Styela clava: one gene and its partners. The main gene of each other region encodes a partner of the protein of the gene in region 2 in a complex. Links are inferred from orthologs where the notes say so. Each region holds a gene or a part of one and is shown on either strand. Other genes may lie near its edges. The genes, in order: GATOR2 complex protein WDR59-like, GATOR1 complex protein NPRL3-like and nucleoporin SEH1-like.

Region 1 (3,759 bases), on a different chromosome or scaffold from region 2:
AAAAACTGTAAATTTAAGAAGCAATGGTATCCCTTCTAACATACCATCCAATTGTGAGAAAGGTTCTGGTTTTAAAAGGCAACGGGAGTTAGTCACTAAAATTCTTTACGATTTTTTCAATAAAACTATTTTCATGGATCGTTTACCAAAAGATATGATCGTGGAATGGGATAAACGACTTACCAAAACAGCTGGTGTTACGAAATGTTCATCAAGAACTGTAACCTCAGTTGAAAACGGTATTCGATGTGTCAGTAAAACGTACAAAGCAATGATATCACTTTCAGAAAAGGTTTTAGACACGCTACATCGATTGCGAGATACTTTATGCCATGAAATGTGCCATGCCGCTGTATGGTTGCTCGACAATCAGAATGACGGCCATGGTCCTTATTGGAAAGCATGGGCTCGCAAAGCTACATCCGCACACCCTGAAATGCCAGTGGTAAAACGATGTCACAGCTATGACATCACATACAAGTTCCACTACCAGTGCACAACTTGTCGTAAAATTTACGGCCGACATTCAAAATCGATCAAAGTGGATAAACAAGCTTGTGGCATATGCCGTGGTAAACTTGTCTTGCTGCCACCGACAAAATCTGATGGCACACCAGCAAAAACAAGACAGCCGAATAAGTTTGCGATGTTTGTTAAGGAGAATTATAAAACAGTACAGCGGGCCAACTCAGTAGGAGGAATGACTCCGAAGCATTCGGATGTTATGAAGGCTCTCAGTGAAAAATTTGCTACTCTGTCGACTAAAAAATAAACTGTATAGATTCTCTGGTAGCTTATGTGATTATTCTCGTTCAATTGTCAGCATATTAATGTTATCTAAGGAAATTATTCCCATGCTTCATTTGGACTGGCAACTGGACAATAGGCTGCAGTTTGTTGTGTGATTAGGTCATCCTTCCCTCCATGGAATAAATATGAGAATTTCTCCTTTATTGTGATATTTCTTTTTCTTAATCAACTTTTTGTTGTCTATTGATATGTTTTTGTCCTTATTTTACAATTGATTTATCTAAGTAGGGTTCTCAGATACATTGCATCTGCCTTTAGGGATGTTATATAAGGATATTTTACAATTATTCTTTTCACATTGAATCATTTTTGTTCAGTTTCAAATATATGAATTGCTGAAAAACGTATGGAATATGAATTCGTAAATATTTGATACATGCTAAAATTTGTAACAAATTGGATGAAAGGATAAAAAGATCTAACATCGTGATATTAATTAGATGTTTTAAAAAACATTTCCTAATATTATTATTAAGATTACCATTTAAACTCTGCCTACTGTTTTGACTCATAGGTAGGCTACATATAGTAATGCTTTGTAGTTTAATTAATTTGTTGGTTTTAAAATCGTTCATCATGATTCTTACTCTCCTAGATGAATCATTTTATAGATGGATGGCAAAAGTGCTTTTGATGTTTGACACAAAATGACAATTCTTAGTAATATATATTTTTTTGTCCTGCTGTCTTCTCCATGTCTCTGTGTCTCTTGTTTCATATCGGCTTAATGATGCTAAAAGCTTGATGTTATTGTCATGTATTGTGTAGTTTTGTATTCAATATTACCTCAAATACAAATCTGACCTGACTGCCATTTTTTCATCTTTATAAGAAATGTAGGCAATATAACTATAGGTTAAATATTGGTGCTTACAAGCTGAAGGAGTAAATTTTAAATCATTTCCAGCATATATTTCAGAATTAAACACAGCTCATAATGGATGTCAAAACAGCACAACATCCAAATATTCAGGTAACCACATTTGAATACTTACAAGAAATCACGGTAATGTCAAATCAATGGCAGGCTTACTAATCCCATACCCGACATGGACTGGTAACCAGACGAGGGCTTAACCATATGGTTCGCCATATGATTAGGCTATCCTATTGGCTTCCCTCTCCCACAGGATAAATATGTAAATCCTATCTTGTGTAGTGAATAAGGAATTTATTCTTCATGGAATAAACAATGTTATCATTACCAATATGTAACTAAAAGCATATTTTGAGAACATTTTAAAAATGTGGTTGGGTATTTCTTCAGGTCAGTATAATGAGCCCTCAACTAAAATAGAAAAAGTAGTAATTGTAAGCTATACTGACAAAATAAAAACGGTACCCCCGTAGTCTGTGTTCGAGCTTAGGGTTAGGCCATAATTTTATTCCAATAGTTGCTCATAGTTTTCAGTCCTTTTACACAACTTGATGTAAAGTAGAAGAACAAAATTAGTTACGTCCATATTGGTACACACAATTCTGGAGCGCCATAAAAACTATACCAATCACTCTTTAAATGTATCATTTTCAGGCAAATGCCATGGCCGTGGATTTTGACGGAAGGTACTCAGTACTAGGGACTCGACGTAACATTATACTCATTGATCTAAACAATCCACAAGAAGTTGCTCGTCGTCTTAATCGACAAAGTAAATGGGATATTTCTCATGTTCAATGGAATCCATGCTTCACGAAGAAACAACATTTTGTCGCTACTGTAAGTTTGTTTCATAGCAAATCGTTTTTAAAATCTTGTCCAGAGTAAGCTTTTGCCACTTTCATTGTCTGTTACTTGTAAATTAATTTTGGTCTCCGCTTTGCATCATCAGATACTTTTTGATAAACTTCATATTGTTTTCCTGGCAGTATTGACTTGAGTTACTAGTATATTGTCATCTGGTACCTACTAGCATCTGTTACTGAATAAACCTTTTCATAGCTCTTGAGTGTGCCAAAGTGAAAATATGTACCTTTGTAAATATACCAGTTCTTGAGAATTCAAGTTGTACCAAGATTATAAATTTTAATTTGTGGTGATAAGTGAAGGATTCTCAAAAAATGATAATACTTTAATGTTCAAGCAATAGGATGTCAATGCAGTAATTGCTGATTCTCTCCGAAAAAAGAGTGCTACTTGTTTGATAATTGTTTGAAGCGCTTTTCTTTGTATTTTGATGATGTAGGGGTTTGAAATAAATATCAGAATCATGCACAGCTAGAAACATTCAAAAAAAATCCAAGAATGGAAAACAATGGTAGCTGACTCAAATTGGTTATTTTTTTCTATTCCAGAAACTCTCTATCCATGGGAACTTTTTTATTGTAATACAGTCAATGGGCTGATTCGATCCAGATTCGGTATTCTCAATTGTCCATCCCTATGCTCAAAGATCTTTCTTTTCTTTAAACTTTATGGATTAAGGAGTTGCAAATAATTGAATCTACGCAATGCTTCAAAGATTCAAACAACGCCTAAGATTAGAGAACAATGGAGGCTGAGTGGCTGACCCTGATATTCCATTTTTTGTTATTTCAACCAAAAACTGCAAAAAGTAATTCATAAAATTTAAACTCTTTTATTGCAGTACAGTCAATGGGCTGATCTATGGACATGGGATGAAGGTGCTGGATCTTTGCTTGCAACGTTACGCGGACACACTCGTGTTATTAGTGATGTTGATTGGTGTCCTTGTGATGATAATTTACTTGCAACCTGTTCCATCGATACTTATATTTATGTATGGGATATCAGAGATACAAAACGACCCAAAATGACACCTTCAGCCGTAGGTCAGATTTCGTAACTTTCGTTCGCTAATCTCTGATACAGGGTTACCAGAAATAAGCATAACCCAGGTCATCGAACATATCTTGAGAAAACATAACTTTTGTGCAAAGGGGTACAATAATATACAAACAGAAGTTTTAAGCGTTAAATAATTTTGTAAA
Region 2 (3,759 bases):
TAAGCAAAGCGACTCAAACAGACAGGCGGAAAAGAATTGAATTTGTCAAGTTTAAAGCATCTCATGGATACGGGCACATGGATATTTACAAGGCACCAGAGTTGCCTCAATTACTCAGTAACTTTTTAACAGACAAAGACAATTCAGACAGGGTTGTTACTTTGTGATCAGAGGAAAAGCCTATCTCGTTGCTCAAATTCATAAATGGTTCTTTTTTAATTTCGTTATCAATATATACCCAAATACAAAGTGGAATTTATGCATGTCCCTAGTTTGCTGTGACTCATAACATGATTCTTCATATATTGTGATTATCAGGCATAGAGAAATGACATGGATCACATTCCTCAACTCGAGTGACATGCCATTTGTAAATAGCTGCAAGAGCTTTTGACGAAAGATTTGTGATCTCAACCAAAAAGTTCAAAAAATAAATTTCTTCGAAGCTAAACTACTTCATTATCTGTGCAGAAAACCTCTTGAACGTTTTGAAAATTATAGCAGCTTGACATTAGTACTAATTTATAAATTGTGTTATATGCCGTATGGTAACTTGACATTGTGGATTATTTTTTAAGCAAATGCACCTATCATGACATACAACAAAGTCACAATAAATTACTTCTCTGTTTAATAATGAAAGTTGTATTCAAACTGCATTTTGTAAATAAAGGGTGCAGTTTTTTTCATTACTTTACTTTTTGGTCAGAGGTGTTTGTACTTTTATGACTGGGCTTTCTACTGAGAAATTCGGGTTTTTACTCAATATTGTTTAGAAAAAAACTTGATTCAGTGGGTTCTCAATACTGTAATTATTTTTTTCAGTGTTTTCAGTTATGAGTGGAAGTGATCAACCATGGATACCATTAAGTATCATGTTATCAATGTATGGCAGTAGAATAACCAGTAAGCTGTTGTTCAGATATCCATACAATAAATCTCAAAGTGATACTCAGCCATTGTCTTCCTACAAACAACTGACATCATCAACTTTTCATCTAAACAGGCAACATGGGTCAGTGTCTGATGATTCGGACGATGTAAAAAAGGCACCAAGAAATGAAGCAGAGCAGTTGGATTCTTTCAGTGATGAACTACTAGCAACTATACTCAGTCCTGGAAACACCAAGATTTGTGGAAAAAAGTTTGACCTAAAGACGAATGGAATCCGTTTTGTAGGTTTCCCTTTGGTTATTGACCAATTCAGCAGTGTATTATCAAAGTTTGATATTTTGGAAAAATATAGGCAAAACATCAAAGAGCATGAAGGTTGTAAGAAAAAGGAAGATTCTACACTTTTGTCATTCAACATTGTGTTTGTATTAAAAGCGGTAGCGGAGTACACCATAGTTGAAAAGTACCAAGAGTTGGCACTACAACTTGGTCTTGCCTTGCGATTTGAAGAAAAATGTTCCGATTACTTGACCCACGAAACAAGGCTTATGCTGTCAGTGCATGACGAGATGTCCTTAGAATCTGAGTGTATGGCAGAGCCTGAACACGCCTATAAAACTATATTAGAAAAATCCCACCTGGCCGACCAGCTTCACATCATATTCAATAGTATTTGTCAAACAGGTATCCTGTCTGTTAAAGTAAACAATTCAACACATATTAGTTTTTGTTTGCCTCACAAAGTTCATAATATGGCTTCGTATGGACAAAATACAATATCTGTTTCTTTCATTGAAAAAGCTATAGAAAAAATAAGGCCATATCATGGCATTCTCATATTTGACAAAAAGGAAATATGGTCGACTTTACCAGATGATTATACTCCATCTCTTACAAGATTATTAACAGTTTACGAACCAACAAAATCGCTCCAATGTACTGCATCTGATGCAGATTTGCCGCTAACTCAAATTTATACTTTAACGTCACAATTGGTATATTGGGGTAAAGCGTGTATTATATATCCGTTATGCGATTCAAATATCTATGTTATTGCGCCATCAGCAGAACTAAATCCAAATTCAGAAGCAGCGAGATCTTTTTACATGAGGTTCAACCATGATATGGTGGATGTGTTGTCAAATTTCTCACTACCAGTTCGTCTTAGTGATTTCCAAACTCCACACGGACTATTTTATGGTGAAGAAGATAAGCTAGCTCAAGTTGTGTTTTGGCTCTTGCAACATCGGTTTTTAATACAAATGCACACTTTTATATATTTCTGCCCTGTTGAGGCTGACCAACAGTCTACTATGAGCGAGCAGAAGCCTCCGATTCAAAATACAGAGACTCGTTCAATTATTGCAGGATTGCCCTGGAAGCAAAGGAAAGCAATTATGGATGTCCATGCATCCAATAGCGCTAAAGATTTGAGATTATTTGTAAATTTGTTGAAATATTTTGATGGAAACTGTCACATGGAAGAAATAATGTATAATGAAAATTTATCAAGAACTCAGTTGCTGGCTTTGTTGGATAAATTTTCACCTGTTTTATTAACAACTTCAAGGGAAGATTCAACTACTGCTGCGTTTTGTATGGGTTTGATATAGATTGTCTTCACTTTATGCATGCAATTACAATTTACATTTTGAGAAAACTGGTTTATTGGCGAAACTACATCAACAGCAAGAATTTGAATTAGTACCCAATTTTATGATCAATTTGCCATTAATCGAAATATATAGTTTTCAAAATATGATTAACCAGCTCTAAAACTTACATTTCGTTTCCATTAACTCTAGAGACACCTGCTTCGCTGCTTGTTATTGAAATAGTGAATACTCTTTTCTATGTAGCTGGTGGTCATTTGCGACTTTCTGTTATTTGAATAGTAAAAAAAATGCAGGTCCATGGTACTTTATAAATACTAATATATATTGCTCCATATAAAATTACAGGTTGTGGTTTAGTTGTCTAACTAAAGGAGAAAGATAGTCAATCACATGTTCCAGTCTTCGTAGAGTTATTTCCAAGCGTCCTTGAATGTCTACGCTAACTCCTCTGACACGAAGTGGCTCGAGTGTATCCTCGGAAATGCTAGTACAGTGTTCGCAATTAAGTGTCTCCAATTCTTGACAATATTCCTTTATTATCTTTACACCAGAATCTGTCATTTTCCAGCACTCTATGATATCCAAATGCTTTAACTTGCGGCAATTTTTTGCAATGGCGTCAAGGCTTTGGTCAGTCAATTGGTTAATTTCTGATATGTTCAAATATTCCAAGTTTGGGCAGCATTTGGACATGAACTCCACACATTCATCATCTAGCAAAGAACATTTCTGTAAATCCAGTAGTTTCAGTTTTCTGTTGTTGGAAATGAACACCATAAAATTGTCGTGGTCAACCCATGTACAACCCTTCAGACGTAAATGAGTAAGATTTTCACAGTACATTCCTAATATGCATAGACTTCTATTTGTTAAACCCTTACATTGTGATAAATTAAGGATCGATAAATTGGGGCAGTCATTTATAACTGGAACAAGAAGGTTGTCGTCTATCCAATCTCCGATATTGGGGATAACAATGGTCCGGAGTGATGAATTGCTTTTTGTTAATATTTCAAATGTGGTAGCATCCGCTATACCATCAGAGTCTTTGATATGGATGTGATGGCATTGAGAAAAATATTCCTCCATCATATTGTGAAGTTGTCGACATACTGCACGTAGCCGGAATAAATCGATCATAGATAAATACTTGAATACATTATGATACAGAACATCATGCCTAGGCAGTGATTCTAGCAAATTAGACTCCATAACTTGAACCTTATAGCTACATTTTCAATATCTGTGC
Region 3 (3,759 bases), on a different chromosome or scaffold from region 2:
CATTACCCGGTTAGAACGCTAAAATTTCTTCATTGGTATTTGCACAAATATTAGTCATTTCAAAAAAAGTGCGCACACACCAAAACTTCTGCGCACACATACTACAAAAAATTAGAGGGAACATTGATCATAGGTCATAATCTTCTGCGAAATGGCCACCAGTAATACTCAATGAAGTTGGAGTAAACTTACAGTTAATTCACACCAAAGCTGCTAGCACCTGTGAATCTCATGGTACCACAGTTTCCACTTCACAGCCTGAGCATATTATTCACCATGTAGGCCTGTCCTATACATGTGTTTTTTGGTTATATGTCAAGAAAAAAAAACAGAAAATCATGTCACAGTAATATTTTTCAATTACGATATGTCCAAGGCATCATGAATTAGTTGCGAATAGATAGATTAATAGCCCCAGTTGCTATTTCAATGGTCCCCTCTGTTAATTTAATATTTAGGCACTGACGATGATTAAAAAAAATCACTGATATCCTCGCATATAAGCCGAATACAAAGCTCAAAAAAGTTGCGAAACTAAGGGCTTATACGCGCATAACTCTAATCGCACTAAAAATTTGGCTTAATAAAAGCGCATAACTCTAATCGCACTCAAACGAAATGATATTATGCTAACTTAATTCCACTCAAACCATGCTAATTTCCTACCAATAAGGGCGTATGATTTGTAGGGTCGGCTTAAATACGAATTTTTTATAAAAATTCACCGCTGCTGAAAACGTCAATACCGATATGCCAACATTCCATAATAGACGACAATGCTGAAGGGCCTTTTTACGGGGTCGGCTTATATGTGAAATCGGCTCATATATGAGGATAAACGATAATTCTCAATCTTTGTAAGCCACCACTTTACCCTAAGCAATGTCTAGCAATCACCCCAAATTTGTGACAATTTCACTATGTATTGCCCTAGCAGCCTATGCTTGACTGAGATGAGCAATACTACATTACCAATCTAAATTAGTTCAATATGCAATCACAAATTTCACTTTATTTCTATATGTACAATTTTTTTGAATATAGCAAATACATAACCATGCCTCAAAATTATATAAATTATAAGACAAGATTATTGGGAACAAAGCATATGCAAACACTCAGAATTGCAAGTTTCGAATTGAATGAAATTAGAAAAAATATTTAAAACTTGCAAACATGCAGAATTTTATTAAAAAAGTTGTCCACCTCGAACATTTCCACCAGCATACCTGATAGTTTGTTGAGAATTGGACAGTCCTTTATCATTGGAGCTATTTTGTCTTGAAACATTGCTTTGTGTTGTTTTATTATCTTGCAAATTTTTCAATGTTCCAACTTTTCTCCAATTATCTAAATAATTAGCTTTCCAGAGATGAACTTTTCCATCATCTCCAGACGATGACAACACCGTACCAAGAACATTCCAACTAACTCTCCATACTTTGCTATTGTGAGCATCAAATTTAGCGACTTCACTCACAGAATAGCTAGACGATTCAGTTCCAGATGTTTTAGAATCACTCAAAAGCTTCATAACAAAAATATGAACACACTTTGACGCTACGGCAAGCGTGTGTCTCATCGCACCGTAATTCGGAGCAAATTCAATATCATTAACAGGATCCGTTATTGTCATTATTGTGTGAACTTTGACCCAATCACGATTGATTTCACTGTATTCATATATTAAAACCTTGCCGCCCACGGATGGGTTATTATCATCACTACCCACTGCAATCATTGAAGGATGTTTGTAAAAACTTGAGGGGTTCCAGGACAAACAACTGCAACCTAATTTCAATTTGATTTGATGCTGAACAGACCATTGAGCCAGATTCATAACATCAGGTGCTTCGTAAACACGTACAATTCCATCAGCAGAGCAAGTAGCCAGTTGTAGACCGAGATGTTTTGGAGCAAATTTTACATCAGTTACAGATGTTCGACTATCCACAAGAGACGATTTACGTATCCATGATCTATTATTTTTCAATGTTGTCGTATCAGTAACAATCTCTTCCCATACAGCAGCAGTTCTGTCAAAGGAACATGTTGCAAGCACTTGCCCAAATTCAGGGTGAGCCCAACATACTTTCCAGACTGAACCATTGTGAGTTTTCCAGCTGGAACTGCAGTACCAATCACCATCATCATCTAAATCCCATACTTTGACAGTTTGATCACTGGAACAAGTCGCCATACGCTTTCCATAATGATCGAAAGCAAGGTCATGAATAAGATCCTTATGTTCGGCATTGATCTTAATGGCACTAAATTCAGCTAGTGATTCTGTATCATCCATTTTAGCTATAAAATTACTACAAGTTGAGATATGTAAAATATAAATTTTGAGTAAATTGATTGTGCTTTCATGATTGTTCTGATTAAAATTTAATTTAATTAAAATTAAATTTAAAATTTGGGCAAATTTTGAGTAAATTGATTGTGCTTTCATGATTGTTCTGATTTAAACAGCCTCCTTGTAGCTCTTGGTACTGGCCACTTGGTATTCATTAAGAGATGGGTACCCGCGATGCATGCATGTCTTTAGTTAGTGGTTCAAATGTTTTGCATCATACTCTCATTAATTCAATTTTTTTGGTTGTGTTTTATTGAGACGTTATTTCAAAAAAATAAAAAAGGAAGTGATGCAATAATAATAGTAAACGGCAATGGTGTTAGCTTGTGATCAGTTTAAATGGAAATTATAAAAACAAAAAATTTCTGAAGTTTAGAACTCATAAATATTTTACAGCACTATCCGGCTTGTAGAATTGAATAATAGAGTCAAATAGAATTCTTTTTACACAACAAAAATCAATAGGTCTACTTCAGTGGTTCTCAACCTTTTACTGACCGCGTACCACTTCACTGTTTTTCACTATGGCCGCGTACCACCGACAAAGCTTCTTTTTTGGCGTGAGGAAAAAGACACAAGAAACGTGTTATTTAGTAGTAACGGTAGTATTTTATAATGTGGCACTACATCCTTTGTGGCGTGACACACAAAACGGACAAAAACATGCCCATATCGCTTCATTTAAGATGGGCAATAGCGGGCGATCTCTAGAGACAATGACTGATAGCGCACCAGCGCTATGTGGATGTTTCTCCGACCCTTGACTCCGGAAAATTTACCACTATACTTTACAATTGTAAACTTCATGCTTATTCTGAGAGTGCTTAGATGTGTTGGCGCATATAAAATGGTTTACGTGTTTGGAGTCATCATTTTTATTAAAATTAATCAACCATGTGCCGTTTGCAGGTACTGATATAGCTAGGGCTGCCATAACGTCCTTATTTCTAAGATTTGTCCTTATTTTGAAGGCCTTTGTCTTAGAAAAGAATTTTTTCCTTATTTCTAAGAAACGTCCTTATTTCGACATGTGACCTTATTTTACGGGTAGACGTTCTAATATCGGGCATTTAGATTGGTCAAATCGAATGATTGATTTGCTAGAAATGATATTTTACAACATCATTGATTGCTACGTGAATCCATAAGTAAGAACTGAAAAATAATTGACACAGTGACAAAACAAAAGCCTACCGACCAAAATCACTGCGTGTAACCTGAATTAAAATACAACTTGAAAGTGAGATGGAACAGATTTTTTCTAAGAATAAAGAACTGCTGGAGCAAATCCTTTGCAAAGTATGTTTAGACACGCACTAGCATGAATACATTTTGTTTATTACAGTTCGTTCTTTGTTATTGTATTATTATGTTTCCCTGATGTCCTTATTTTTGGGTTC

Evidence for each region.
Region 1: GATOR1 complex protein NPRL3-like (region 2) and GATOR2 complex protein WDR59-like share a complex: the UniProt entries of both Drosophila melanogaster proteins name them as parts of the GATOR complex. The link is inferred for Styela clava from reciprocal best matches to the Drosophila melanogaster genes Nprl3 and Wdr59.
Region 3: GATOR1 complex protein NPRL3-like (region 2) and nucleoporin SEH1-like share a complex: the UniProt entries of both Drosophila melanogaster proteins name them as parts of the GATOR complex. The link is inferred for Styela clava from reciprocal best matches to the Drosophila melanogaster genes Nprl3 and Nup44A.

The regions. Positions count from the first base shown.
Region 1 is NC_135262.1:4,861,268-4,865,026, reverse strand, and holds the start of GATOR2 complex protein WDR59-like, read left to right. Parts: upstream 1-1,042; 5' UTR 1,043-1,747; coding exon 1,748-1,783; intron 1,784-2,341; coding exon 2,342-2,527; intron 2,528-3,395; coding exon 3,396-3,600; intron 3,601-3,759. Other genes in the region: uncharacterized protein LOC120332162, read left to right, coding at 1-772. UniProt on the Drosophila melanogaster protein: A component of the GATOR complex, which functions as a regulator of the amino acid-sensing branch of the mTORC1 signaling pathway.
Region 2 is NC_135253.1:12,145,832-12,149,590, reverse strand, and holds GATOR1 complex protein NPRL3-like, read left to right. Parts: upstream 1-834; 5' UTR 835-836; coding exon 837-2,507; 3' UTR 2,508-2,849; downstream 2,850-3,759. Other genes in the region: lysophosphatidylserine lipase ABHD12-like, read left to right, coding at 1-167; uncharacterized protein LOC120325627, read right to left, coding at 2,850-3,722. UniProt on the Drosophila melanogaster protein: An essential component of the GATOR subcomplex GATOR1 which functions as an inhibitor of the amino acid-sensing branch of the TORC1 signaling pathway.
Region 3 is NC_135251.1:17,064,569-17,068,327, reverse strand, and holds the start of nucleoporin SEH1-like, read right to left. Parts: upstream 2,334-3,759; 5' UTR 2,303-2,333; coding exon 1,230-2,302; intron 1-1,229. UniProt on the Drosophila melanogaster protein: Probable component of the nuclear pore complex (NPC). Involved in maintaining the localization of another nucleoporin Mgtor to the nuclear envelope of early meiotic female germline cells.